4 linked regions of the Caenorhabditis elegans genome follow. The protein of the gene in region 1 interacts with the protein of each later gene in a pairwise test. Each region holds a gene or a part of one and is shown on either strand. Other genes may lie near its edges.

Region 1 (8,317 bases):
CTTATTCTAATTGCTATGTTTGAAATTATCTATTCGGTTTTAGAGGTTCTTGTTAAACCGGTAAAAGCTTTAAAAAGAACATTCAACAACTTTTTTGTGCTTTTTCAGACTTTTACTTCTTTCGGCTCAACGTTTGTGATGATTGTGAATGTCAGAGATTCTTTGTTGAGCTATGATGTTTTGTTACTTTTAGTTTGTAAGTTTATCAAAAAGTGTATAGACAATCCACCGGGCTGATTTGCCGAGAATGCCTAGGTGAAATAAGAATGGAATATTTGATTTTCAGCCCTGTGTTGCGCATTTTTTGGATCACTGATGGTCATGTTCAGCGTACAGTTTATATATCGATTCTGGGCAGTGAGCGGCAACAATTCAATCAAAACATTCGAAGGAGTCAGAATATTTTGGTGGCTTCTACCATCAATATTAGTTGGAACTATGTGGGGTATTGCCGCGTATTTTCCTTGCTCACCGCGACCGAGTACTGATGCGTTCCTAAGGTAACACCTTCCAGTATACATTGATTTACCCCGAACCTCGTGACATTTTTTCAGAGAATTTATTTTGAAAGAGTTTGGTTTGGAGGTGACAGAGAATGTATACATTGCGCCGTATTTTTATGAAAAAAATGAAGATGGTACTACGGACATTTACTATCCATCTTTTGTGACAATTTTTGCAACAACTGTGACTGTGGTGAGTTGGCAGATTTACGCAAGAATTTTACGAAAGTAAATACTTAAAAAAAAATGATCCGTAATTTTCAATTCTTGTCGTTTTTCTTTTTTGGTTTTTTCCTGAGTTTCAGATTATTAGGCTTAGACTTAGGCTTGGTTTAGGCTTAGTCTTAGGCTTATGCTTTTGCTTTGGCGAAGGCTTAGTCTTCAGTTTTGGTTTAGGCCTTGCTTAGGCTTACGCTTAGGCCTATGCTTAGGCGTAGGTTTAGGCTTATGCGTACGCCTAAGCTTAGGTTTAGGCTTAGGCTTAGCTCAAAACTCAAGACCAACCAGTATGACTCCAAACATAAAGATTAACAAGAATTGAAAAATTTTGAGTTTTAAAATTTCCTGTAATGACATTTTGAATTTAAATAAATATTCTTGGAGTATTTTCAATATTATTAACCGGGTTAACCGGATTATTAACCGGATCAATATTATTAATCGGAATTTTTTTTAAATAAATCTTCTAAATCTTCTTTCAGATAATTTCCGTGTCTGTCATTTTTTATTTCGGTTTTAAATGCTACACATCCCTTCAGAAATTCAAAGAAATCGAATCGTCGAAACACATTCAAAATCTGCAAAATCAATTGTTCTATTCATTGGTGGCTCAAACACTAATTCCATTATTTCTGGTGCATACTCCAGCATTTGCTTTATACACATTTTCATTTCTTCGAATAAATATCGGCTCCTTAACTGGAATTACCACAATAACAACTGCCATTTTTCCTGCACTTGATCCTCTTCCAACACTAATTATTGTAAGAAGCTATCGAAATGCAATTCGAGAATCGATTTCTTCCATATTCAATTCATTCACTACAATTTTCAAAAAGTCACATGGAAATTCGATTTTACCGGTGCAGGCTCGCACGGGAACTGTTTGAAATTTTCCATGTTGTCACGTGCATGTTCAATAAATGCTGAAAACTTTTATGATGAAAACATTATTAGCGAACATACAAAACATTATCTTGCAATCCTTAACAAGTTGAAATATATCAGATGCAAGTAGAAATGAGGCTTACAGAAAAAAGATGTAACGAAAATCGAAATGATAAGTGTAAAGCGTGTAGAGAAAAAAATGATCCGCAAAGAGTTTTAGAAGATACCAAGTATATAAGAAGAAAGAGGAGAGAGAGAGCATCTAGCATCTAAACCGTAGAGAATTCATGACGGTGAATAAAAGGGGAAAGAATGAATGGGGGAAATGTGCTTTAGAACAATAGGTGAAAATTATGGACAAAAATCAGAATAAAAGCATGGATGAGGTGATTAGACGAAATGAGAAGATTATTATTTATAGACGAGTTTGGCTACGAGTTGTTGGAGCAGACGACGAAGGCATTCCATTAGAGGAAGACGATGCAGCAGAAGTACCACGACGCCTAAAAATCGATAATTAAGAAAGTCAATATCGCCAATTTCAATCTCAACTCACTTTGGCGCACGATGAACAGGATCGACTGGTTCAGTTTCCATTTGTTCTGGTTCTTCAGTCTTCGGTTTTCTATCAACCCTTCTTCTTTTGTTTCCAGGTGGTGGAGTCGGAGAATGTGGTGGGCGATTTGATGGACCGGCGGCTCCAGAAGACGTGGATGGTTCATCAGTCGGATTGTTTGAATTCCTGGCAAGCCTGCGAGCAGAGCGTCTTGTTTCAACTTCCGAAATGTGCGCCGCATCTCGTGGGCGCTGGACGCGACGACGAACAACTGAGTTACGAACATGAACTTCTTCTTCCTCGTCGTCCTCTTCCTCGTAAGGCAGATCACCGTCGTCTTCCTCCTCGTTCTCGGCTTCGTGATCCAGTAAATTACGCTCCCGAACATCTTGCTCTAGAGCATCCTGATCCGCTGCTTCTTGGAATTCTATCGCCGCTCTGTGGAGCACCGGCTCAAATTCCTCGTCTTCTATCGCATCGACTTGCTCGCGCATATCATCAAACTCCACAAAATTGTTAATCTGCGGTGGAACATCATCGAATTGTTCTTGTTCTTCAACGTTATTCTCCAGAATTCCATTATTATGGTCCACATTACCATCAACATCTGGCTCTAAAACCACGGGAACTTCTTCGAAATGAATGACATTATTGATATCTCCGGCACGATAATTCTCAACGACTTGTCCATTAACAACAACTTGCTGATCGACTTCCGGTTGTTCTTCCTCCACTTCCTCAACTATCGGTTCCGGATGAAAATTGATTCCAAAATCGCCGGCGCCTCGTTGAGCAACTTGTATCTCTTCCCAATCGGCACCTAAAATAATTTTTTTTGTTTGCGAGAGAACCTTGAAATCATACTCGTTTATGTTTCGACACCACAATAAGAATCAACAATATATTACAATACCAGTATAGTCAAAAATTAGTATTATTAGTAGATCAAAAAATAATTGCATGCTACTCACGAGGAATGTCAGCGGGTGCTGCTGGATCGACAGCATTTTGTACCATTTGATCCTCCGCCACGATTTCATCAGCCAACTGTTGGAATTGTCGATCGTTCATCGCTTGTAGATCAATTTGTTGCAGTTGCTGCTGCTGCTGGATTGGCGGTCTGAACGGTTGCGCACGTGGTTGCGGCTGTTGTTGCTGCTGCACTTGAAGCTGCTGATGATACTGCTGCATCTGCTGTTGATGATTCTGTATACGTTGTGGTGGTGGTGGCGGTGGTCCCTGTTGGAATTGCTGCCCTTCGTTGGGATGACGTTGCTGCTGCTGTTGCTGTGGATGAGCTGGCATTTGCGGTGGCATCGGAACATTGGCATTGTTGTGCATATGCTGTTGGAATGCGATTTGCATGTTTCCATGCATTATATTGTTCATGTTCGGTTGCTGCATTCGTTGATGCTGACGCTGCATCTGATCTTCCACCTGATGCATCGGATGATGTTGCTGATGCATATACATCATACGCGGTGGACCTTGTTGCATTTGATGATGCATCGGTGGAGGATGGCCCATAATGTACTGTCCCGGGCGCCCACCAACTTGAGCCATCATTGGTTGATTCATCCGTTGTGGTTGTGGACCTCCCCAGAGCCGTTGGGCCTGCATATGTTGTGGTGGAGGCATCGCGGGTGGAGGCATCACAAGTTGATGTGGTGGTGGTGGTGGGAGAAATGGAAGATCCTGCTGCTGCTGGACTCCTCGCGCCTGACGATTTCGATTACGAGCCACTTGTGCGAAATGATTGAGCGCGCCTCGTAAATTTCTGGCATTCTGTGGAATAGGTCTGCCTGCTGCGGGAGCTGCGACCTCGTTCACTCGTTCGGCTCCTCCCTCCGAGGCAGGAATCTGATTCACTGAACCAGTAGGCTCGTCGATTTGGAATCCCATTTCTTGCTTGAGTTTCTGAAAATAAAATCCTGAGTGTGGAGAAACGTTTAAAAAAAAAATAAAAATTTGTTTTTTTTTACTTTCTTTCGTGTTCCAGTTGAGCGAAAAAAAAATTGTGGAACAAGATTGTTGTAGATTTTTGTATATTTTTTTAATCAACAAACCTCAAAAGGATCCCAATAGGAATTGAACGCCGATTCGATAGCCGTAAGCATCACATCAACACGTCCACCAGCTTCCGAGTAGACTTTTGAAATTTTTTCCGCCTTTTTCACTTCCTCCATCAGCTCGTCCATTGTCGAATTCTCCTTGATCTTCGAATCGAATGTGCTGAGCATGAACTCGAAGATTTTGATGAGCGAGGTGAGCTTCTGAAATTTTTTTTTTTTTTTTTCTATGAACTCTGAAACTCACATCTAAAGCTTTTGCTTCTATAGTTCCACCAACAGATTGCAGTCTTGGCTTCAAATTTTCAAGCGATTGAAATGCAGCATGTGATGCATCACTGATCTTTTGCTTCATCTCTCGAACATCATCCGACGTCAGCGCCTTCTTCTCAACCAGCTGATGTCCATTGTGCAATCGGATCGCGCATGTCGAACAGATCTTTCGGCCAGTCTCCTCACACTGTGAACAATCGAAATAGACACCCTGACTGAGAACAGCTTCACACTGATTGCACAGCTTGACCAGATGGCGATCCTTGAAGAGTGGAGCAACTTTTTGCACAATTTCCTGAACTCGATAGTTGACAGGTAGGCCATCCGCCGGCACCAGCGTCGGCTTTCTACACTCTGGACACTTGATCTCTGTGGCGCGAGCTTCTGGTCCACGTCTCGGTAGGACTACAATTCCACGCACCATATTCGGATCGTTTGGGTTCATTCGTGGATCTAGACGGGGAAGATCTATGAAATGTGGTTGATCTTCCTGATCGGCAAACCCGCCAAGGCCTCCGAAGCCTGGACCTATATCGTCGGGATGTAGAAGTGGGCCACGTGGGCGGCCGAGTTCTTCTGCCATGTTGGTTTTCACTTGATCTACCTGTAATTTTAAGTTTCATTGGAGATGGAAGAAGTTAAAAATATGAAAATTTGCTAGAAAATAGCAAATTTATTTTGTAAAATAAGGTTGCCACGCGTTTTCTAGAGGTCACTTCAGGTAAATTACCAATTTTATCACGTTTTTTATCAAAAAATAGTTCAACATATAGAAAATCAGTTGATTTATCTGAAAATATCATTTTTCCACATAAAATCTCAAAGAAAGTGCTCAAAATTGGCGAATTCCTCAATGTTTCAGCTGAAATAAATGTTACTTCCCGATAAACCAAGTGATTTTCTATATTTTGGCATTAATTTTCATAGGAAAACGTTTAATAATTGCAGAAAATTGTGAAAACTTTCAGAAAAACATAAAAATCGTTTTTTTTTTCTCAAATTTCAAGAAGAAATTGAACTTTTAAGTGGAAAATCAGTAAAAATATATGAATTTTAGCTCCAAGCGTCTCAAAATCACTGAAAATGTCAGAACAATGACATTTTTTAAGTCGAATTTCGAGAAAAAGCGTGGTTTTAACTTCAAAAACGCTTTAATGACATGAAAATGCCTGAAAATGTGATTTGTATCTCAGAAATTACCTTTTTCTGTTAAAAAAAAAGCAAAAAACTGAGAATTTTGTTTAAAAAAACGGCAGAAAATATAACTTTCCCTTCAAATTTTGACCATTTCGACCTGAAAAAGCTCAAAATTATCAATCAACCTACCAATCTTCCAATACACGTTGAGCATAGCGTGTGTCCGCATCCCATCTGCATCGGTTTATCATAAATGTTGTAGCAAATCGGGCATTCGACGACGTGAGCCCATTGTTGCTGAAAATTCAAAAATTATATTGATTTTAATCATTTTTATTTTCACACAAACTTACATAATTACTGGTACCACTTGTGCCCGGAATGTCCATTATTGCTTTTTATTTATACAAAAATATATTCAAATATTCCAATAAAAATGTGAATAATCGGTTTTGAACCCGATTTGCCCGTCAGGCGGAATCCAAATTACCCTGAAAAAAAATGAGAAAAATCAATAATGTTTGAAAAACGAACGGGGAGAACGCTGTGGGGCGTAGTTGCAAAGAATCAAAAAGTGAGAGAGGAAAACGCACAGAGAGAGACACAGACAAAACAAGCACTTTGCGATGAAAAGGGGCTTTTTGGGTGGATGAGGATGAGGGTGCACGAGAGATGGCGTGTTTATGATTGAGAAAATTGCTGTCTAAATCAATAAAGACTGGAGGAAATTTGTTTTGTGAGTGAGTGATCTCTTTTGATGTTTTCGCTGTGAAAAATACGAAAAGACTAAAAAATTTCGAAATGCTATTTACGAAATAAGAAGAATCTCGCGCTGCAAGAAAAAAAAAAGTTTGTTTTTGTGATATTACGAAAAAAAGACTGAAAAATGTCATTTTCTGGGCAAACACACGAGAAAATATTGTAAAATAATTTTTTTAAGTTGTATTCAGGCATTTTATTGATGAAAATTGATGATTCATCGGCGGAAAAGTGGAAAAAATCGGAGAAAAAGAAAAATAAAAAATGTTTATTAATCAACCGTAGTTTGATCATGGCGAGACCCAAATTATAAATTGGGTCATGCGCCTTTAAAATGTACGGTAGGGTTTTGCGATTTTTTTTTTGAGTTTTGTGTTAAAAATCGTATTCTATTTTCAAACTGAATTCAAATTATTGAATAAATGAATTTAAAACATACTTCCAAAATTTTTTTTTGTAAAAACTATGATTCATTGACGAAAGTTGGAGAAAAATAGATCAATTTCGGCTTAATCATCAACCGTAGTTCAGATCGTGGCGAGAACCAAATTCAACAATGGTCCATGCGCCTTTAGAAATACAGTAGTTTTTGGCAATTTTTTGAAAAATTGCGAGATTGAATGAATAAAAACCCAGAAAAATAAGAGAGCCGACGAAAATTAAAGTGAGAAAAGAGTGGAAAGAAGAAGAAGAGTCGGGTCATATATTCATCAAATTGTGCGTGCATGAATCAAGTGAAAAGACAACGCGTCTATTCCTCGCTTCGATTGTTTCAGGGGGGACCACGATAATAGGATAATAGGTCTCGCAGTTGGAAAGAAAGAAATGGTGACGAAAAACGAAGACGGAAAATCGATGAGAATGGTTGTCTGTCATATGTGTATGTGTGTGTGTGTGTGCACCGGGATAATCTCCACCACTTCTCTATTGGTTTACACCGAGACGGGGGGAAGAAAACGAACCTTCCCGTCCGGCAGACACATCCCACGGGGCGGCAGCAGCCACCGAGGGTCATGATTATTTTTCATTGAGCTCTCCGCGCGCGAGCCGTGGTGGCTCGGATTAAAGCAACCACCACACAGCTGCTCGACAGAGAGCATGACTTCCTTAAAGACAAAAGGTGTTCGGTAATTGCGAAGAATACATAACAGCAGTTGGACCAAGACACCGGAGGGAATGGAATGCAAATTGAAGTGCTGGTGGAGGCTCAATTTAGATGATTTTATGGCGAGAGGAGAGAGGTTGCAGGCGTCGAAGAAGAGGCAACTAGAGAAAAGGATGGAAATTTAATAAAAACGTTGTGAAGTGAGAAGAAGAAGAAGACCGATGATGACAGACGAACGAATACCTCGGCACCGTCGCTCTGATGTTTGACAAAAACATCTGTGTGCTTAGAGACGCAGAATAGGTCAAATCATAATATTGATTCTTATCGTCGTCTTTTACGTTGTTGAGAGAGAGAGAGCATGTTTCTAATTCCGCTAGGAAAACATTTCAGTTGACAACAATACTGATGCAATGTTATTATTTTGTGATCACATTGATTACACATCAATAACACAATTGCGTAATAGCTTTTAAAAAGGAAAATAACAAAGAGAGTGGCATTGTGCAACAATACAGAGTGTATGTGTCTGGAGACTTGTGTGGTGAGGATGGGGGTACAAAAATTTCCATTCCACTCGTCTTTCTAATACCCTCTAGGGGTCTCTTTTGACAAAATGCATTGAAAATGATAAGACATATGCGATTTGTGTGTCAAAACATAATATTGAATGGGATTATTTCTTGGTTGAATATTGAACAAAAAAACGATGATGACTATTGCATCAGAGAAGAACTGAGTGGAAATTTTTTTGATAGTCTATCACATGTGATTTCAGATAGGGAATGATAAGACAATTCCACACCTG
Region 2 (6,315 bases), on another chromosome or scaffold:
TTTTCTTTTTTCGCTTTCAGAATGTGAGTACAATTCGAAGTGCATCGAATATGAACAAGCATGGGCAACATAGTTTCAAGTTCCTGCTTTTTCAACTACAACTACTATTAAATTCATTTGTAATCAATCAAACAATAAGCGTTTAATAGAGTTGCGTGGATGACAGAATGTGCTCGTCTTGACTAAATGACTGGCTCAATAAGGGTATGAATGACACAAGATAACAGATGGTCGCTGACTTGAGTCAAGACACTTCTGAGAAAAATAACACTTGTGGAGGTTCAATTGTGATTAATTGGTTGAGAAATGAGGGTAAGTAGTAAATTGAGAAATTGAGAAGATGTTGAGAGTAAAAGTCATAAGGTATTGCGACACTGTTTATATTTAGTAATGTGCACCAAAGTAAGTTTGGCGCCTACAATTGAAATACTCTTGGGATCAATCTGAGCAATTAACCATAGCGTAGTTCTTCTATTACTATGGCAGCACTACAAATTTCAAAGACCTTCGCTGTAGCAAAACAACAAACAATAAATTTCCACTTTAAAATTATACGTAAATTATAGAAAAAATTACCTCATTGAAGGCTGTTTGTTTACTATCAAAAGATACAAAATAAGATTCAAAGAAAGCTTGCACCTATAAATATTATTTTGGAAAAATAAATCAAAAAAAGTGCACGCGAAAATTCGAAATACCGGTCACCCATAGTACGAGTAGAGGTAGTTATTACAGTATACCTCTGTGTCCAACAATTTGTTCTTTTATAACCTGTCACGCCGACACAGCTACCCGAGGCGCATCCATAACAATTTTTGTGCGTTAATTAGTAAATGGACCTATATACATCCCCAATCCACAAAATTACAATAATGACAGTCACCTACTCCATTGCGGGAAAAGACTGAAGACACCGGTCACAATAGTTGGTGTCTAATATCAAATGCATATAGCGGAGAAGTAGTAATGTGGTAATGGTAATGAGCGGTTTTGAGTGAATTATGGAAACTAAAAAAGAATAACAGAAGTAAGACCCGAAAAAGGTGAGATGGAAGGTGGGATTTCTAGGGTACATGTACTACATGCTCAGTTACATGTGATACTTTATCACTCGTCTCCGAGTCACTGGCCCATATGATAATCAGGTACCTATTTTCTAATACATTATCTGATACTTCTAGAAGTTCCATTAACGTCAAAGTAAGCATGTACTCTTTTTCAGTTGTCTGCAAGTACTGATTCACTGATTCATAATCTTTTACAAAAGTCTAACTACATAGATGCTTTGGTATTACCAAACAAGAACAACAGAAGGTGAGCTGCCTCAACCTGTGGAGCCCTTAATTAGACCGGAGGTGGTAGCTAATCACAAATTATTGACCCAGAATTGATGCAGCAGCGAGACAACACAAACGACATATGTTTTGTAGTCAAAGTTAATCCGGGCCTGGAGCCGACTGACGAGAACACGTAATTAGCAGCAAGTAAGATAAAGAGGGGAGGACCGTCGAGATGTGGTGATCGGAAGGTAACAAAGAAGGCCTCGGCAGGTAAGAAAGGGTTAAAAAAGCCAATTTGACAAAAGAATAGAACAATGCTGTAGAAATGGACCCAGCTCGGTTTGAGGAGATCAAAATCTTGAGAACGAAAAGGAGAAGGCTCATGACTCAGTATCTCGAACTACATCTGAACTCATAAACTTTTTTGTTTGAAGTTGCTCATAATAGTGGTCTTGGTGATTCAAAGATTGCGGATAAAAATAAAAAGAGAAGTTTTGAATTTTTAAAATTTTTACTGTCGTTTGGAAGTGTCGTAAATTGGATTTTGCTTTTTAGGCTTAAAGATAATTTTTTCTTGCACATCAATTTAAAAACTTTGCGCATGATTCTACTTTTCTAACTCAATAAAAGTAATTCTAGAAAACGTTTTCAATGATTTTTTTTTAATTTTTGAAGTTAGTTCCTCTGTAATCCGCAAATTGAAAATGTTTTTTAAAGGAACAAGACATTAGTGACTACGATAAAAATTGTGAATGTGAATGTTTATTTACAGTGTCTCAACGTGGGCTTCCAAAGTTTCAATACCTTATCTTTATATATTCCCGACAACCTTTTCACTTTTTAAAAATATGTCTTGAACATGTGTGCCATAGCTGAAATGCAAAAGTTATTAGATTTTCCCGTAAGATAAAGTTGCATAATTGGAAGTAGGCATGACGATTTTGGCAACTGAATGACGACGAGAGCGAGGTGAGGACTGTTGTATGGGTGTCAGATTTGTACATCTGATAACATATCTTATAACTCATCGATGGACTGTCATTATCAATTGGCTAAGTGTTTCCGGAATGTCCCCACAGTTGAAAATGCTTTGCCTGTGAGCCAAATCGTTTATCCAAAGGAGCATAATGACAAGTTAAAAAGATCTACTAAAACGAAATTTGATGGAAAGGCTTTCGGGTCAGAGGAGTGGGGCTCCATGTAATTTGGAATAGCACAATTTTCAACTACTCGTTTGACACTGACGAGAGAGAAAAAGAGAGGGGCGCCAAAAAAGTAGTGGTGCCTGATGGCGAACACCTTCAACTATAGGGACAGGGAAACAAGGCGCGGACAAAGACCTCCATCAAACGACGTTTTCGTTATGACATCTTCCAAACAGCGGGTGTGCCGGTTAATGGGTGTCAATTCAAGCCAATTACAAAAACCCCTCTCAGTGATGGTGGTGGCGACAAAAATGTTGAACATGGAGAAAACGGAACGGGTGGGAAAAATGAGTAGACAAATCATCAAAACTTTTAAATTTGATTGAATGCATTGGAATTGCAACACGGGGCAAAATTCGAAAATTGGAGTAGCGATATGTAGATTGCGGGGAGAATTACGATGATTCTGTGTTGGCCATGGAGTCGGCGTCACACACCGGAAATCCAGATACGGTAGATGGCTAATGGAATTTGGAGTCAATGATGGACACATGCGGATGTACATACACAATGAATAACATAAGTGGGAGGAGAAAGCATGGCTCCTGATGTTGGAGTTTTTGTAGAAGCATCGAACAAGATTGAAAACATTTTATGGTAGAGAAAAGAAGTTGTAGCAAAAGTTCAAAAAGATTTTTTAAATCAGAAATGCTCAAGAATTCAGTTCTAAAGTTCAAAATATATTCTGAAACTTTGCCCAGAATTTAGAACCAAACAATTATCTGTGAAAAATTATAGCAGAATGAAAAATTTTTGTGATACAACATGAAAGCTCAAAAAAATTAGGTAACGTAATTTCAGAAAAGTTTGAAGTCATAGGAGACACATGATAGCAGCCCACGACATCAATGTTTCGAGAAGGACTCGGTTTCTATATTTAGCCTAAAGACCAAAGAGTTTTGAAATTATTCAAAATATAACCAGTTCTACATTATTCCTACTTAGTTTGTTATCATTATGACAATATCGATTGTTTCTCTATTATTTATGATTGTCAATGAGGCATCAAAATTTATCTACTCAACAAGAAAGTCTAATGATAATCAGCAGAAAGGCAACAGACTGAAATGAGAAAATATATGCCGACGAAGAAGGGTAGTTCTTACTTCTAGCCCATGCCCACCTCATTAGCACGCCCATCTGAAAGTGCTCGCCATCTTATTGATTTTCTGCTAACTCATTACCCAACAAGAGTTTAACTCACCACGTTCACTTTTGTCAACTCGACCGTCACTATTTGAATACTCGCGGATTTTGGTGTTGTGTAGCGTAAAATTTAGTGTAAGTGTAGATATTGGAAGTGTTAGAATAAGAGATCCTCAGTATCTAACTGTCCAACAAACTTTCGGGGGACAGAACAAAAAAGCGCGAAACTATTTCAACGATATAGTGTGACATAAAAAGAAGACGTCGACGTCTCTCCCTCTCGGTCCACAATTGAAAAGAGCCGCGCCCGGACACGTTTTCTCCGTTGTCTCACCTAGGACACCGCTGACTTTTTGCTTCTATTCTCGGGCCAATCGTCTTCTTTGAAATGGGCGGAGTTTTCATTCATATTCTCTATGGATTATGCGCAGCTTTATTCACAATCTACCTTTTGCAACTTGTGGCAGATGGGCATTGTTTCTCGAATACATTGCCATCAATGTTATGAACATGAATCAATTTCTACTCACGTGGAAACTATTCAGTGGTAGCTCCTTCCCCCTGAACATCTGTCAAACAAGGGATTAGCCATGCCAAACTCGCGGGGTGTAGGCATGCTCTTGCCCGGTGTACAGACCAAGATATTTTGTGATTTCACTGCCAGCACCTGATTCCAATTAGAAGTTTTCACAGACTTTCTGCTCCACCGACCTCATTAGTTTTCTAAGCATGTTTACAGACATTCTGAACCATTGTGATTAACAGAATTTAACAGATCGAACAAAACTACTTGGTTTCTGAAAAGGAGATGCACCACATATCTGATTTAAAAATAAGTTTTAATCAGCTACTGCTTTTATTTTTGATGATTCCTTATACATAAATATTAATGCAACCGCATCGATATTCGGATTCAAGCAGTGTAACTGCAAATTAAACATTTAAAAAACCTCGCTATGAATAATTTTCATAATTTGATACGTGGAAAAAATTTAATGTCACTTTTCTGTAACTGATTTCTTTACTTATTCATTTATATTTTCTGCCCTGCTTGTAGCTGGCTTTACTCCACTTCTCCATTCATTGTCAGTTTCTTCTATTCTTTTCTTCGGACTACGGTATCGCTGCATCCGACAATAAAGTCTTCAGAGACGACAAATAACTAACGGAATATTGAGGGTTCTTCTTGTTGGACCGCCCGCCAGAATTCGAGGGCTCGGAAGTCAAATAGCAAATTATTCCGCTTCAGGTGTCAGTCCTATTTGAGAAAATCTGGCAGGAAACAAGTACTGGGACTGTGAAAAGTAAATAGAAAAATTTTATTGACACACTAAGAATAATTTGCATTTTTTATCGTAGTTTACAAAATTTCCACATTTATCAATCTCGGAGTAAGATTTTTTGTATTAAAAATATATTTTCCAAATTTTAGACGGTTGTCTAAAAATAATTATACTTGGCATTTGGCGTTACCTGCGTTTTTCCCAAAAATTAAAAAAAATATTATTTAAAAACTGTTATTTGGATCAAACTTGGCGTAAACTTAAACACAGTCCAAACCAAGCTTATCGTGTTGTGATTCAAGTTGAAATTTTTTGCCAAACTTGGGCAAGAAGCTAGCGTCAAATGCCGATTACACAACAGACAAATTTACACCAGTACCTTTATCTGGACCAAGTCATATGTGGTACATCACGCCAAAAATGAATACGGCGAAATGTTTTTGGAGATTCTGTACGCATGAGTGAACAGAAGATGTCGTTTTCCCACTTTTTGGATTTTTTTATTTTCAACGACAGCCGCCGCACTTTTTTGGTAACCAAATGGGATTCATGTCCGTATTTGGCGGGAATGATCGCCCTGAATTAATTTTTTAAAGATAAAATGAGAAAAAAAGGTAGTAGAGGATGTCAAAACTATTTTTCTGAATTTTCAAAATTGAATTATTTAATTTTAATCTAATAATCAGTAAATGTAAAACCAAAAAAAAAACTACATACAATAGACAATTTGATTTATTAAAACTCTGTAATAAATATTCTAAAGGTCAAACACCAAAAACTCCAACACAAAGCTCCAAATCTGCTGAAAAGGAACGATTTGAAGTTTTTACTACTAAAACATATAAAAATGTTGAATAATGTTTATAACAGTAGAAACTTTGGTACTTATGGGTTTCGTTCTCCCCAAAATGTTGTAATTTTTTTAATTCCAATTAACCACAAAAACGTGAATTTTAGTTGTTTTATTTGTATGGATTTATTTGTTTCTTTGGTTTTTTTGTAAAAATGAATGCTTTGTTCCGTACTTCATACAAGTAGTATTGGATATGTGCCAAGTATATATCACCAGAATTGGTGCGTCTAAAAAAATGGGAGGGAGAGGAGGTGCTATGCCATCTTCTGCCTGTAAGTAGCATGGGCAAGATGCCAAGTCCATAGAGGCATAGTTGTTACGTCTACAACTTTGCCATCATCTCCAATCTTTATGACGTTTTGGTCAGTAAGCACTTGGATGTGAATTTAGGTAGTGGTATTTGATTGGGAGTTAGTAAGGACATTGTCGCGGGCGTAAGAGTTACACTAAATCAAACACATTGAATGCTCAATCTATTTTAAAAATAAGCAGAAACATTTTGAAATTTGGAATAAATTTTTTAGGTTTTAGAATTTTGTTTAAAAGTG
Region 3 (9,459 bases), about 16 Mb from region 1:
ATAAAAGGAGAACGTGTGAATTGGAGATTTATAGGTTGGCGGCCGAGTTCGGGTTGGTGGAGCTGAAATTATTTAAATATGGAACTAGGCTTTCTATCGACTTTTTTTGCAACGGGCCATGTTAATTATATTTTATTTTTAGGTGCATTTTGCATACTTTCATAGAACCCTTCTAAATAAGCCCCAAAAGTTTTAGCGGCAGAGGAGCACTTTGAACTGGATAAAAGTCGATCTGAAATTGCTATCAGTGCATTTTTTAACTACTTTAGAGGCCCGTAAAATTGCTCCAAATGATAATTTTGAAAATCTTCATTCAAGTATTCTAGACGCTTTTTGGAAGTTTTTTTTTTTAATAATCTGAAAAATTCCAATAATCGAAACAGTCCAAAAAATAATAATCGAAACAGTCCAAAAAAAATTTCCGATTGTTAGCCGGCTCCTTAAAGACCAATAATTCATTGAAAGTGTGCAAAAATTTACACCTGAAACATTTTTTCGGGCCTCAAACGTTTTGAAATTTTCACTGAAAAATTTTCAGAGCGACTTTTTTGCAGCGCAGAGTGATCCTCTGCCGCTAAAATTTTTGCAGGGGCCTATTTAGAAGGTCTTCTTTCAAATGACATAAATTTTATTCAGAATTCCGGGATTAAGTTGAAATACTTTCCTTGATAATAAAAACCAATACTATCAAATTCGTTAGTACTTTTTTAAATCTTACTATTATGACCGAGTAGAACCAGACTCCAATTTTTACTAAATTGAAATTTATTGTTAACTTCTAAAACATTCAAAATAATCATGAGACCGTAGAAAATAAATGATGTGTTTTAAACAAGGAAAACAAACGAAAAAAATTAGTAGGGGGTCAACAAAACATCGTTAGTTATACCATCAGACATACCTGTAAAGAGTATTCTGGTATACTCCGTTGGTGTAGTCAATTCCTGGATAACTGCTCGTTGTGTTGTAGAGTGTGTTGTTCAGGAAATTCTGGGATTGTGGGAGAATTGTGGCAAAATCCGAACTGTAGAGGTAAGGAGACGCGTATTGACCATTGAGTGTCATCTGAAAAAATTCAAAATGGGAGCTTGAAATATTGTATTCACTGGCTAGATTTTATCTTACCTGTGCTTGCGTGGTTCCTAGTGTGCCAACACTTGAGATCACTGAAGTAGGTTGACTGTGATTAACAGCCGACGGCGTTCCCGATGGGTCAATTAGGCCAAGATTGGCAGCAGCTGCAGTTGCATCTTGCACAGCTTTCAGCTCTTCCTTGATCTCCTTCTTTGTAGAAATTTGAGGGATCAGAGAATAAGCACCAAGTGATGATGTGGTCGTGATGGATGTTGGATCCTCTTCTTTGATTTCCATTTTTGGAATGTGTTGTTGTTGATGCAATTGTTGGGAGTTGGCATTTCTCTTCTTTCTCGATGGCTCACGTTCCTTGACCTTGAATCTCTTCTGCCTACGGAGGTAGCATCCATTCTCAAACATATTCCCACAGTGCTCGTGAAGAGTCCAGAAGGATCCCTTTCCAGGCTTGTCAGGGGACCTGAAAATTATAAACTTAGTCTTTGTAAATCGTTTCCGGAAAACATCCATATAGATTTTTTGTCAAATCTTTTCACTAACGCGCACCCTCACTCTCTCCGGTAATTTCTCATTTCAACAGCTTCACGCATCAATGGGTGTCCCTTGGGCGCACGGTATAATAAATGTGGCGCTGCAGAAAAGGTAGTCCTTGAGATAAACTATATAGGTTCCGATTATAATAGGAAATGATGGTTTTTGTGGGAAAACAATAAGAAGTTTTTTATCGGGACAAAACGTGTCCAGAAAAAACTTTAATTTTCAAGACTCTTACCTGGCAACCTTTACAAAGCAATCATTGAAGGAGAGGGAGTGGCGAATTGAGTTTTGCCATCTTTGTTGATTGTTCTGATAGTAAGGGAACAAATCCATGATCCAATTGTAGATTTCAGACAATGTCAATTGTCTAGAATTAGACTTTTGAATTGCCATAGTAATTAAGCTAATGTAAGAGTATGGAGGTTTCGATTGTCCATAAGTTCCATGTCTTCTGATCTTTTCCGTGACAGTTTCAAATTCCTGAATCGTGAGTTCTTGGCCTTGCCCTCCGCTTACACCAGAATAAGACCTATCGGCTGGCGATGCAGCAACCGTCGAGCTTGATCGTCCATTGCTTCTTCCGATGACCGCTGAGGCGGACGACGTGGCCACGGAAGCGGCCGCTGTGGTGGCTCCGGTGGTGCCAGTGGTAAAACCTGAATGAGATCAAATTACAAATTGTGTATAGAGAGCGCCACTCAAGGTAGGTATGAATGAATAATGGATACTCATTTTGTGCTTGGGAAATATTTAGAGCTTTCAGAGTGAAGAGTATCTCACAATAATTTATTTAATCAGGATTGTCTATAGATATAAATTCATGCATTGTCTTAACCGTATTAAAAATAATTATATGCTATACTGTTTTTATGTATGTGAGAGTTAGTATTTAGACAATTAGGGATATTTTAAAACTTACCAAGAGGTGAAATTCCTCCTCCTTGCATGAAATTGGCTGGGCTGATGTAGTTCGATCCGAGCTGATTAGCAGTGGCATACTGGCTGTAGTTGTTGTAGTTCAGAAGTCCATTGGCAGCAGTCTGGTACTGAAAGTAGAATGGATGTTATTAGACTTATTAGTGAGAACAGGGTCAAACTTTTTACCTGATATGGTTGGTAGTTTAACGTAGTATTAGAATACGTCGGCAGATAGTCCTGAGCGTTCATGGCCTGCAAGAAAAAAATTGAAAGTTTGCTTTGAGGTCTGGGATTATGTAAATATTTAAAGATAAATACAAAATGTGTGTGTGTGTGTGTGTTTATAACAAATAACAAATATTTAGAAAATTCGGAAGCCCCACACGTGGAGCTAGACATGGAAATGAACAAATAAGTCCCGTTTGACCTCTGAACCTGAGCCTTGGAAATTCCTTAAAAAGATGATGCTCAAAGGTAAGTAGAACGCCCCGTACTGAAGAAGAGAGGTGAAGGAGAGGCTAGGCACTAGAGCAGCGGGACTCCGCCTACCTTGCCCTCCTATGCGCGTGCGCACCGCCTATCGCTTAGCCACAGTAACCCCGTCGCGGACTCCGCCCATTTCGGATTTTTACCTTGTTTTAGATTTCAACTGACTCATGGCTGAAAATAGTATAGGTGTTTCACTAATTGTAATCTCCACGTGGTGCTTTTTTAAGAATTCTAATTTTGGTTGTGTGTGTGTTTGTGGACGGTGGGGGGGGGGGGGGGGGGGGGGGGGGGGGTTCCTCGTCGTCGTCGGATAAATAAATAGAAATTGAATAAATATTTGGCTTCTTGGGCAACACGACGCCCAGCCCCTTCTTCTTTTGGTAGGAGGACCTCACAATTTCTATTTTCTTCTGGACACCATCACTTTGCTACTTTTTAGCTACTTTTCTAAAAAATTTTACAAAAAAAAAACTAACTGCTACAATTTTAAATCGAATTTTTATTAAATGAGGAGTACCGAAATCTGAGACTTTGCTTTTTTAACCCAAAATGACGCAAAACTACCGAATTTCATAATGAGACGTTTTAAAAATTTCTCAAAAAAAAGCTATGGCGGTTCAAAGTTCTAGAAAAAATTTGCCCATTTTCAGCTAAAATCAAATTTTTTTTGCCAACTTCTTGGTGTCACAGCGTCTTGAACATAATCCCTATTTGGTTATCACTCTTTAATTTTTGGTTGATTTTAATGTTGAGCCGTATTGGACCTCAAAATATTTCGCAATTCTAAATTTTGGTGATATACTCAGAATCTGGGATTGAATTTCAAAGAAATATTTTCGATTTAAAAAATTGATTAACGAATTGAAATTTTAAAACTTATTGCAGAAACTAACAAGTTAAACAGAAGAATAAAAAAACTAAATGACTCACAGTGCATTTACCTACTCAAAAAATTAATCATCAAAAAGATACGCCAGACGGTTATACAACTAGCCATATGGTTTTTTATTCTGATAAGCTTGGGTTAAAAATGACGATTATTATTATTACTTTATTTTTGACACCCTACCAAATTTGCCGCACCATACCTACCGTATAGTCTACACTTGAAGCAGCCGACGACGTGGCAGGCACCTGATTTCCCGTGTCGGAGGTCCCAGAAGTGGTTCCATTTGGCAACATTTTATGTTTCTGCTCGCGTTTTCGATTCTTCTCGGTTTCCAATAACTTTTTATTTTCCTGTTCCACAGAATCTTCTGAATCCGTTGAATTCGTGGTTGTGGCTGGCTCGGCTTCAGAGTCAGGTTCCGACTCTGGCTCCTCTTTGATGACCTTCAAACAAAATAGTTTAATTTTTTTCATTGTTAAAAAGTTCTCAAATTTTTCATTGAATTTTCCAAAATATCTCTTTTCCACTTGACCCAATTTTGTGTCCTAGCCTAGCACGTACTAGGATACTAAGAATGAGGTGGTGTGGTATAGAATTACATACAAGTGGGATAGAGGAGGGAGGAGGATTCAGATGTGAAGAAATTGAAAATATGTCCGGGGGCAATTTCGGCGAAAGCTTAAGGGTTGATGAGAGGAAAAGCGGCAAGGAAATCTCTTAAAAATGCAATATATAGCACCAAATGATACAAACGGCAATTTCAAGAGCTGAAGAACGATGACGAAATGAGAGTGGGTTGGAAATAGGTTCGGGATGCGAGGGTTTTACTACGTGGCGGCGAAGTTGAAAAAAAAAACTATCGCTATTTTTTTAAAAACATGTGAATGTTTCAACAAAATCTACAAGAGAAATCTTAATTTTTTTTCTTTTCTTAGACCACCTTATCAATACCGCTATGGGTCCTCTCACATTTTTATTAAAACTTTTATTATTGATTGAAAAGAGGCGTGGTATCAATCAGGGGTGGGCGGCAAACAATTTTTCCGGCAAATCGGCAAATTGCCGGAATTGAAAATTTCCGGCAAAGTGTTTCGGTCTTACGAAAAAATCCCTCTAAACATTTCCGGCAAATCTGATATCCGGCACCGGCAGTTTGCCGATTCGCCTTTTTTTAAAAACTATTTCCTTTTACTATTGCCGCCGTTTTTAGTCCGATTTTGAATGGTTCTTTCAAGCAAATTTTGAATGAATATTTCTGGGTCCAGATGTTCGCCCTAACAGTCGTTTTTTCCAGCTGTGATTCAAAATCGTAAAAAAACTTGAGACGACTATCATCCATCTGCCGCCTATTTTTTAGCACCTGTTATTATTGAGCATTAACTGCGCTGACTCATTATCTTATACACTTCTCCAAAATAATCAATAATCGTAAAATAGAGTAGAAAGCAGTGTAGGCGGAAGAAGAGGTTTCTTATCAATACTCACTCGATATGATTTCATTATTTCAAAATAGGTGTAGGTATATTAGAATCAAAAAGTGTGGGACGTTTTTAGGAAAAAGAAAATTCATGTCTATAAGAATAGTAATTGTAAAGTGAGAAAAACATTTTCCATGGTAAATCCAAACTTTTGAACCCCATTTCGTCATATTTTGTTCTAAAAAAATTAGGTTCGTCTTGAAGCTTATCACATATTTATCACTGAAACCGTGTGAAACGAACATGGCAAATAAAAGAAACAACAATTGGCAAACAAAAACTGATATCACATACACACTGCGAAATTGTCAAATATTTGCATGGGAAGGAGGAGCGAGAGAGTAGAAAAGAGCACAAAATATACGTCTAGGAGGCTCCCATTTTTGGGTGGAAGCTTTCGGAGCCACTGGTGGTGGTGCCCCTTCGGTGAATATCGCATTTCATCCATCGAAACAAAAAATATTTGGATGGCCCGAGTTTTGTTTTTGGAGCATTTTTTTCGGGAGCTCTTATTATCGAAATATGAAAACTTTTAATTTTCCACAGTGTTTCAAAACATGTTCAAATTGTTCCATAGAAATTTTTTCTAGCAAAACGAAGAAAAAACTTTGTGCGTGGACCGTGAGAATCAAATTTTCATTGTATCTCTCCGAAAAGAGAATCGATAAAAAAATCTTAAAAGAAAGTTTTAACAATTTCACTTTTTGAGCCTTGCATATTTTAAGAGTTCATGACTAACATTCAAATTCCAAAAAAGCTATTGAACTTAGAAAAAATGTATTTAATGTCATTAAAAAAGTTTGTAGTGATGTTTGAAGAAAATATGGTAAGCTGAACAATAACCTAAACTATTTCTGACAAATCACAGATGTTCATGATATTCTCAAAATGTGCATCTTCCCAGAATACCAATGGAGCAATAATAGGTGGCAACCTAGCATCCTGGCCGGGTCATATTGACATCGAGTATCCCCTGTTAATGAGCACTTATGTGCTATTATACACAGAAGGTGCTCATTTTCAGATTGTTTCAGAAGAGAAATAGAAAGGTAGCTGCAGAAATAGATTAAACATGTGTGGCAAAGATGGTTGTAAGTTTTTAATTTCGAAAAAAGTGAGCATACAGCCGGGAGCTAACAAAAACGTTTTCAGAGGCCCCGAACAATTTTAAAAAAAAACGATGCATGAAGCAGAAAATAACTGGTGCCTTACCCTTATATCAATAATGTCCTCATCACTGGATGGCGATGTCATTGTATCTCAAATTAGATAGTCCTTCAAAAAATACGCAGTGGACAGATAGGGTGTATAAGGTAATATTGGCTGGGGTTGGGTGATTTTGTTAGGTCTCTTGATACGACTCTTCGTTATCAACACTGTGACAGTGTGATGGTGATGATGGTGGTGTAGAAGGGGGCTGTATGGGAATGAGTAGAAGGGAATGGACATAGAGACGCAGTAACACGAGAGAAAAAGAGCACTGATTGATAAGAGAGTTTGACACGGACACCTGGAGACAGCGATCGTCACTCTCTGCTTCTCTACTTCTGCAAGCCTCCTTTTTGGGTTGTGGAGGGAGAGAGAGAGACTGAGTGATCGGAGACCGAGAGCGGGCGCGGTGCCCTTTTGAGTCATTTTGTACAGGCGTAGGGTGGTGGAGAGGGGAGATGGTGTTTCTTTGAAAAGCCGTCTGAGCAAGGGTGTTTAGTGACCCAGAATCGTATAGTGGTGTAGAAATGGAAAGTTTAACATTGAACTCCAAAAACTATCATTAAGCTCACAATCAGCTAATCTCAACTCTTCCTAATCATGTTTTAATATCTCATTTGAAAAAATGAAACCGTCCAATCTCCCCCACGACAATAGGAAAAATAAATTTCTCACCCTCAACTGCCATTCTTCTTCTTCTTGCCTTTTTCATCAACACAATTTTGTGACTGGTACAGATACATAAGAGGACGGACGCCGCGCGCGCGACATTTAGATACGTTATGGGAGCAAGATAAGGCTAGTTGTGTAGCAGTTAATAGCAGTTAAGAATTAGGTAGTATTAACAAAGGGCAATTTAAAAAGATATCACAAAAAAGTATAATATATTTTTTGTTTCAGTCATTCATACAATGTCCATTGGTCCGTTGGTGTGTAAGACTAAGAGACTACAAGTTTTATTGAAGGCACAGTACTAACTTTTGAATTTTTGAAAACCTTGAGAAAAAGAATCAAGCTTTGACAAAAAATTTGCTTGATGCTGTTTTAGGCACGAAAATTAAAATTTTCACAATTTTCAAAATTTCAAATCGTTCCGATTTATTTTTTTTAATTAATAGATACGGTACATCTGGTAACAAGTCTGTGCGAGACTATTAAAGTGTTCAATACTGGTATAATAATTACTGTAAATCAAAAAAAAGCAATAAGAAAGTTAAATCAATGAGACGCTAATACTCCCAAAAATAACTTGGAACAGGTGAATCATTTCAACGATTCACAAAAAACAGAGTTCAAGTTCCGTCTCATTGATTTTTCATTGCATACCACACCCAAGCATCCGAAACTAGTATTAGGTTCAGGAATGACTAATCTCCCAATGGATAGTTACTGTATCAAAAGAGACGTTCACAGCATTGCCCTCTCGTTGCTCCGTCCATCAAGGGCACTGATAATGAGGGTTATCAACATAATAGTTACAAAGACAGGAAAGTGACCAATAAGTTAGATGGTCCATTATCACCTTTTGACAAAAGTTTAATGGTTCCGCTTTCCGCATAGCTCATCGTCGGTAGAATCTTTTGTAACACTATTCTTTAGGCCTTTGCTATCGTTTCTTTGTTAAGGGGAATAGGGATTACCAATCTTTTTTTTTTTTGATTTAAAAATCCAAAAAATTATGATTTTCCCAGATATTAATACAGCCAGCTGTATGATCTTATTCTCAGCACCTCTGTATTCACTTTCAGAGACCTATAGAGACCTATTGTCCGGTTAAGTAGTCGCACCCATGTGCGATTTACAGATATAATGCATGTGAACAACATGAACGCAGTTATGATAGTCCTATTGGCGGGCTAAAAATCTAATCTTTCTTATCAAGGGCCATGGTATAGTTTTTCTGATAAGAAATGACTATAACTTTTATATAAATGCATTAATAAAGTTTTTGGAAATCTTTACATCCAATCATTATTTGTCTTTCCCATTCTACCCAACACTTTAATATCTATTCAGAAACTGTTAATTTTCAGATTTTTTCAATGAAAACTTAATAGATATAGGAAGTATCTGATTTGGAAAATTTGGGATTTAATTTTTCAAGACATTCAAACATTTCGGATTCGAAACAAATAATTTAAAATGAAAAAAAAATTGGTTTATTTTAAGATGAAGTTTTAGAAATTAATTTTTTCAGATGTGACTTTTTTGGACAACTAGAGGCGGGTTTCACTTCACTGGTTGTTTTTTCATCTAAACTATCGATTTCTTCTAAACTTGTCAGTAACAGCTAAAGAAATAAGCTCACAGTCCTGAATTGATCGAAGGAATGGATAAATTCAGAAACAGAGGAGCATTTGCCAGATTAGCTGTTAGCAGAAAAATCGATCCACTTCTGGTGACAACCTATTTGTCTGACCGGGTCAAATGTGCACTGAGTACCCCCTGTTGCTGAGCACTTAGGTGTAATAATACACAAAAGGTGCTCATTTTCAGATTGTTTCAGGTGTAAAAGTGGAAAGTTGAACTTGTCTTACGAGACTAGCCATATGGAAAAGACAATGAAAATGGTGCAATTAAAAAGGGTTTTTTGAGAGAGAGAGAGAGAACATGTTTTTCCCAGGTTGTCTGAATCAGGTTCATATAAATTATTTTTTCTCAAGTCATCAGGACTTAAAATTTGAGGTTGCCATGTAAGAAGTTTTCAATCGTCTAACTCAACTTGTAAGTATTAAGAAACGAAGAGGGTCACCATCTATCTCTTATTCAGGTAGCCCTTTGCCATCAAAGAAAAAAGCCGACAAGTTAGACAAGGGAGGCTACTTGTACTACTTGTAAGAGGTAAAC
Region 4 (6,498 bases), on another chromosome or scaffold:
CATATTCTATTCCACTTCGGCACTTTCCAGTATTTGTAGCCGGGGGTCGGCGGCAAATCGGCAAATTGTCGGAATTGAAAATTTCCGGCAAATCGGCAAATTGCCGGAATTGAAAATTTCCGGCAAATCGGCAAATTGCCGGAATTGAAAATTTCCGGCAAATCGACAAATTGCCGAAATTGGAAATTTCCGGCAAATCGGCAAATTGCCGGAATTGAAAATTTCCGGAAAATCGACAAATTGCCGAAATTGAAATCTTCCGGCAAATCGGCAAATTGCCGGAAGACAATCCCTTCAGAAAAATCCGGTAAACTGCCGGAATTGAAAATTTCCGGCAATTTCGGCAAATCGGCAATTTCCTGAAGTTCTCAAACGGCAAAATTCCCATTTTTCTGGAAAATCTATCCGTTTTCTCATGAACTTTTCAAACGAGAAAAAAAAAACGGAAACCTTCCATTTTCTCACATTCCATTTCTCCCTTCTCCTCAACTCTTACACACATTTTTTTCCACTTTTTCTTCTCTAATCCTCTTGTCATTTACACTATTTCGCCCTCCCGTTTAACACTATCATTTTTTTTTTCAAAAAACAAAATTATCTTTGTGTGACTCACACAATTTTTTCTTAGAAATTAAATTTGTTTTAAAGATTTTTACAAAAATTTGTCACAATTTTCAGATTTTCGTGTTTTTTAAAAAGAAAATCGGAAAAAAAAAGTGGATTTTAAATAGAAAAATTAACAAAAAAAAACCGAAAAATATCGATTTTGATCCGAATCAGAAAAAATAGTTTTTTTAAAGGAGGTGCAGTCGAATTTTTTTGAAAATTTCTTTGCTAGCCTCAAAATTGTCTGAAAACACCGAATTTCATAGTGAAACTTCTTGAAAACTTCTCCAAATACCGTATTTCCTCTATTAGTTAGGCACCTCCATTAGTTTTGCATCTAAAATCACTAATCGAAAATTAGTTTTGCACCCCCTCAATTTGTTCCCTATGTTTAGGAATTCAACATTTGCATTATAAAATCGTTCTAAAAATTAGGAAAACTCTTACAGACTTGGTATGACAAGTCAAAATTGACAAAATATGAGTACAATTCGGACAATTTTTGCGTATCAGTCGTAAAATTCGTAAATTTTCGATCATAAGTTGTTATTGAAATTGATCATAACTTAATGGAAAACATGAGAAAAAACCTGTTCGAAAATTAGTTTTGCATCAAATTAGGTGTCCGAAAATTAGTTTTGCATGCCTTACTAATAGAGGAAATACGGTAAAAGTTATGGCGGCTCAAAAAATGGCCGACATTTTTTTAAATTTTTTATCCAAATTTCGCCGTCCATCGACTTTATAATACCTAAATGAAGTTGAAAACGCAGGATAATTACATTGTATACTCAAAATTTGACGGTGAATTCAAAAAAGTTAATTTCCAGCCGCTTGACAAGTCGGTCAAATTTCAAAATTTAACTTATCTTAGGCCATTTTTTGAGCCGCCATAACTTTTACCGTATTTCCTCTATTAGTAAGGCATGCAAAACTAATTTTCGGACACCTAATTTGATGCAAAACTAATTTTCGAACAGGTTTTTTCTCATGTTTTCCATTAAGTTATGATCAATTTCAATAACAACTTATGATCGAAAATTTACGAATTTTACGACTGATACGCAAAAATTGTCCGAATTGTACTCATATTTTGTCAATTTTGACTTGTCATACCAAGTCTGTAAGAGTTTTCCTAATTTTTAGAACGATTTTATTATGCAAATTTTGAATTCCTAAACATAGGGAACAAATTGAGGGGGTGCAAAACTAATAGAGGAAATACGGTATTTGGAGAAGTTTTCAAGAAGTTTCATTATGAAATTCGATGTTTTCAGACAATTTTGAGTATATTAAAGAAATTTAAAAAAAAATTCAACTACACCACCTTTAAATACAAAAATACTGATTCTGTTGGGAAAATATTGTAAATTTCTTCAAAAAATTGATAATTTTCGCGTTTTTTCTGAATAAATTCCAAGCGTCAGAGTTTATTTAAAACATATTTACTACCCCTCCATTTTCACTTTTTCCTCTAAAATCTCGTTTTTTTAAAATCAAATTCCCGCCAAAATTTCCTCATTTTCAGAAAAAAAACCTCGAAAATAAGAAGAAGAAGCAACCATTCCATATGCATGCTCAATAATTGTTGTTTGCACAAAAATACTGGTGTCTTGTGTGAGTTTTTTTGGAAAATTCAGAAAATTTTCACTGAAAATTACAAAACCTGACAATTTTTGAATTTCGCGACGATTCAAGTATTTCACATGGTGTCAGAGTGTCACATTTCGGCTTGATCTACGTTGATCTACAAAAAATGCGGGAAAACGGGACGCTGACTTCTCATCTGATTTTGTATGGTTAAGACCGTCCTGACGTCACATTTTTTGGGCAAAAAATTGCCGCATTTTTTGTAGATCAAACCGTGATGGGACAGGCTGGCACCACGTGATATTTGCAAATTGTAAATTTTAATATATATTAAAATTAACAAATTTTTTGAAATTTGTTTGAAAATTCTGCTTGTACAGTCTTTTTTTGCAGTTTTCCAGTTGTGGAAATGTCAAAAAAAAATTAAATTGACAGAGATTTTTCAGTTAAAAAAATTTAAAAAAAAAAAACGAAAAAATTCACAAACAATTTTTCGACAAACCGGCAAATTGCCGAAAATGAAAATTTCCGGCAAACCGGCAATTTGCTGATTTGCCGAACGAACGAGGCAACCCCAGTAACATTTTCCTGAAATAATTTTTTTTCAGAATAAATAATGGGTTGCCTGTTTTCAAAAGAGCGGCGATCGGGAGGCAGTGATATGGGTGTTTCCGAACGGATAGATGTCTCCAGGTAACTATTTTATAGAGAAATGTATTATTTTTTTGGAGACAATCAACTTTTTTTTTAGATAAAAAGTGCAAAAATTAAATACAGATTTGAAAAAAAACCGATTTTCCGGTTTGGTTTAATTTTTGGTAAAAATTTGAAATTATTGATTTTTAGTTAAAAATTAGAAATCATTGATTTTTCGATAAAAAATCATAAATTATTGACTTTTCAATTAAAATAGGAAATTTAGCTATTCTAAATCTACATAAAGCATGATATTTTATGCATTTACATGGTGGTGAGCGGAAATCCCCCGTTTTGCCGGAACTTTTCAATTCCGAAAATTTGCCCGTTTCACATTTCGATAATTCGGCAGTGATCAACAGTTGTTAGATTTTCGGCATTTTCTCAGCAAGTAAGTGCCCGATCCCAACAAATTCCGGCAATTTGACATTACTGAGTTCCAAAGAATTTTGAAAAAAAAAACGAGATCCCTACTGTAGTAAATGTTTTTATTAGAAATTTTTTTTTCTGGAATTTTTTAATCGAGACTGAACTCTTTTACAATTTCGAGTGTATTTTTTTGGAAAAAATGTATAGAATTTAAAAATGTATCATTTTCTCTGTCCCGTCTTTTTTTATAGAAAGTTTGCTTTATTTTTAGGCTATTTTTAGGCCAATGTTGTTTTCTAAGCCTAAAAATGAAAATAGTATTAAGATGAACATGTGCATTAAAATTGAAATATTGAATGTTTAAAATTATTTAGTGCTCACTTTTTCCGAAAAAAAAAATATATAAATAGAATAATCTCAGAAGAAAAACTATGGCATCATTTTTGCCCAATTAGATGCCAACGATGTCTTTAAAAAATTATATATATATATATATATATATATCTTTTTTTTTAAAAACATTTAAAGACATCTATTTGGGCAAAAATGATGCCATAGTTTTTCTTCTGAGATTATTCTATTTATATATATTTTTTTTCGGAAAAAGTGAGCACTAAATAATTTTAAACATTCAATATTTCAATTTTAATGCACATGAGAATGTTCATATATGTACTTCCTTTTCTATAAAAAAAATTTGATTGTTTGCCCACCTAAAAATGCACTAACAACGCGTCAATTCGCGTATTATATTTTTTTTAAAGGTGGAGTAGCGCCAGTGGGGAAATTGCTTTTAAACATGCCTATGATACCACAATGACCGAATATCATGGTTAAAAAATTCAAAAAAAAATTTCTAAATTTTATATGATTTTTTGAAAATTGAAAAAATCTCAGTTTTGCCTAATTTTTTGTTTTGCCTAGATTTGTTCGGTGGAGCGCGCTTGCACGCTTTTATTTTTATTTATTGTTATTTTTTTATATTTTCCACCGATTTTCAATGTTTTCAGTGTATTTTTGTCTGAAATTTGAAGAAAAAGTCAAAATAAATGCAAATGTTCGATTAAAAAGCATTTAAACGACGATTTCGAAACCTGAATTAATTAATTTCAAAGATTTACGCTTGTGAAGTAGCTTTTTAATCAAAAATTAGCATTTATTTCGACTTTTTCTTCAAATTTCAGACAAAAATACACTGAAAACATGGAAAATCGGTGGAAAATATAAAAAAAAAAACAATGAATAAAAATAAAAAATGTGCAAGCGCGGCGCTCCACCGAACAAATCCAATTGGGGGTAATTCAAAATTCAAATAGGAATTATTAGGCAAAAATCTTTTTTTTACCATTTTTTAATTTTCAAAAAATCATATAAAATTTTTTTGAATTTTTTTATCATGGTATTCGGACATTGTGACCCCATCACTGCAACTTTTTCCTCACGAGAGACAAGGAAAAGTGGTTTCTAGGCCATGGCCGAGGGGCCGACAAGTTTCAGCGGCCATTTATCTTGCTTTGTTTTCCGCCTATTTTCTTTCGTTTTTCATCGATTTTTTTCGTTTTTTCTTAATAAAACTGATAAATAAATATTTTTTGCAGATGCTAAAACAATTTCCAAGTAAAAAAATCATGTATTCAGTGGGCAAGCAGCGGTGAAAGTAGTCGATGTAATATGATGGATTACGGGAATACAAAACCTAAACTTTTTCTGAAACATGATACATATGATGCTTAGATGCTTAAATTACCTGATTTTCATAACGAGACCGCTGAAAAAGTTTTGAGGTTTTCAAAATTCAATTGTTTTTGGTGAAAAAGTAGAGATTTTCGCACAAAATGTTGAATTTTAAAAATCTCTAAACTTTTTCAGCGGTCTCGTTATGAAAATCAGGTAGTCTCAGCATTTAAGCAGCATATGTATCATGTTTCAGAAAACGTTTAGGTTTTGTATTCCCGTAATCCATCATATTACATCGACCACTTTCACCGCTGCTTGCCCACTGAATACATGATTTTTTTTACTTGGAAATTGTTTTAGCATCTGCAAAAAATATTTATTTATCAGTTTTATTAAGAAAAAACGAAAAAAATCGATGAAAAACGAAAGAAAACAGGCGGAAAACAAAGCAAGATAAATGGCCGCTGAAACTTGTCGGCCCCTCGGCCATGGCCTAGAAACCACTTTTCCTCGTCCCTCGTGAGGAAAAAGTTGCAGTGGCTACTCCACCTTTAATTATTTTTCCATTTTTTTTCCGTACACTTCCCCCATTACCCAAAAAGATATCCACGCAGATTCCAAACGCCCCAACAACAGACAGTATTCCACGTGAATAACGGTGGAAACGAGGGAACCATCTCTCAACTAAACGGAACATCAGACGGAATGATGGGAAATGGACGTGGTGGTGGTGGTGGAGGAGGAGCACAGGAACGTGAGACTCTGGTCGCCCTCTATCCATACGATTCACGTGCCGACGGGGATCTTAGCTTTCAAAAAGGCGATGCTATGTACCTATTGGATCATTCGAATTGTGATTGGTGGTATGTTCGACACCAACGAACCGGACAGACTGGTTATGTGCCGAGGAATTTTGTTGCCAAGCAACAGACTATTGAGAGTGAAGAGTGAGTTGCATTGTTTTTTTTTGTGGTTTGAAGTATTATATAAGTGAAATTTTGCAAGAATATCAACAAAAAAAAGAGCACAGATTAAGAGCACTAAACCTCTATTAAATTAATTAGTCTGAAATAGAATAATTAAAGTGGACTATTTGTGAGAAGAGTTTTAAAGCAGAGGTGAGCGGATATTTTCTAATAATGAATTTATCAATAAGTATTGATGTAGTTATTCAGGAAGAAATGTATCCGAACCAAAGAGTAACTATTAAGCAACATTTTAATATGATAAAACCTAGAAAAATTCTACAAGTTTTCTGTATAAACGATATGCAAGTCCATTATCCGATATCCGTAATATCCGTAATATCCGATATCCGATGTTGCTCGGCGAATAAGTTTTAAGGTCTCGGTAAGGAAAACTTGTAGAATTTTTCTAAATTTTATCATATTAAAATGTTGCTTAATAGTTACTCTTTGGTTTGGATACATTTCTTCCAGAATAACTACATCAATACTTATTGATAAATTCATTATTAAGAAAATATCCGAAAAAATATCCGCCCACCTCTGTTTTAAAGGTGGTGTAGTCGAATTTTTTTTATTGCTTAATTAGACTCAA

Evidence for each region.
Region 2: the proteins of tam-1 (region 1) and vab-3 interact in a two-hybrid assay, tested with the Caenorhabditis elegans proteins (one large-scale study listed by BioGRID).
Region 3: the proteins of tam-1 (region 1) and pha-4 interact in a two-hybrid assay, tested with the Caenorhabditis elegans proteins (one large-scale study listed by BioGRID).
Region 4: the proteins of tam-1 (region 1) and src-1 interact in a two-hybrid assay, tested with the Caenorhabditis elegans proteins (one large-scale study listed by BioGRID).

The regions. Positions count from the first base shown.
Region 1 is NC_003283.11:4,956,961-4,965,277, forward strand, and holds tam-1 (RING-type domain-containing protein), read right to left. Parts: upstream 6,143-8,317; 5' UTR 6,035-6,142; coding exon 5,999-6,034; intron 5,943-5,998; coding exon 5,831-5,942; intron 5,109-5,830; coding exon 4,483-5,108; intron 4,440-4,482; coding exon 4,233-4,439; intron 4,084-4,232; coding exon 3,138-4,083; intron 2,987-3,137; coding exon 2,167-2,986; intron 2,114-2,166; coding exon 2,026-2,113; 3' UTR 1,643-2,025; downstream 1-1,642. Other genes in the region: str-208 (Serpentine receptor class r-10), read left to right, coding at 1-60, 109-196, 287-500, 555-696, 1,205-1,612.
Region 2 is NC_003284.9:10,497,480-10,503,794, reverse strand, and holds the start of vab-3 (Paired box protein 6 homolog), read right to left. Parts: upstream 3,906-6,315; 5' UTR 3,690-3,905; intron 3,558-3,689; exon of another isoform or gene 3,502-3,557; intron 2,708-3,501; exon of another isoform or gene 2,601-2,707; intron 1,666-2,600; exon of another isoform or gene 1,560-1,665; intron 1,225-1,559; exon of another isoform or gene 1,084-1,224; intron 148-1,083; exon of another isoform or gene 29-147; intron 1-28.
Region 3 is NC_003283.11:20,750,250-20,759,708, reverse strand, and holds the start of pha-4 (Defective pharyngeal development protein 4), read right to left. Parts: upstream 6,658-9,459; coding exon 6,616-6,657; intron 4,369-6,615; coding exon 4,129-4,368; intron 3,181-4,128; exon of another isoform or gene 2,972-3,180; intron 2,800-2,971; coding exon 2,734-2,799; intron 2,676-2,733; coding exon 2,549-2,675; intron 2,286-2,548; coding exon 1,865-2,285; intron 1,553-1,864; coding exon 1,126-1,552; intron 1,066-1,125; coding exon 902-1,065; intron 63-901; coding exon 29-62; 3' UTR 1-28.
Region 4 is NC_003279.8:1,564,797-1,571,294, forward strand, and holds the start of src-1 (Tyrosine protein-kinase src-1), read left to right. Parts: upstream 1-2,812; coding exon 2,813-2,889; intron 2,890-5,540; coding exon 5,541-5,885; intron 5,886-6,498. UniProt on the Caenorhabditis elegans protein: Non-receptor tyrosine-protein kinase which plays a role in endoderm development by controlling spindle orientation in EMS blastomere, probably downstream of receptor mes-1.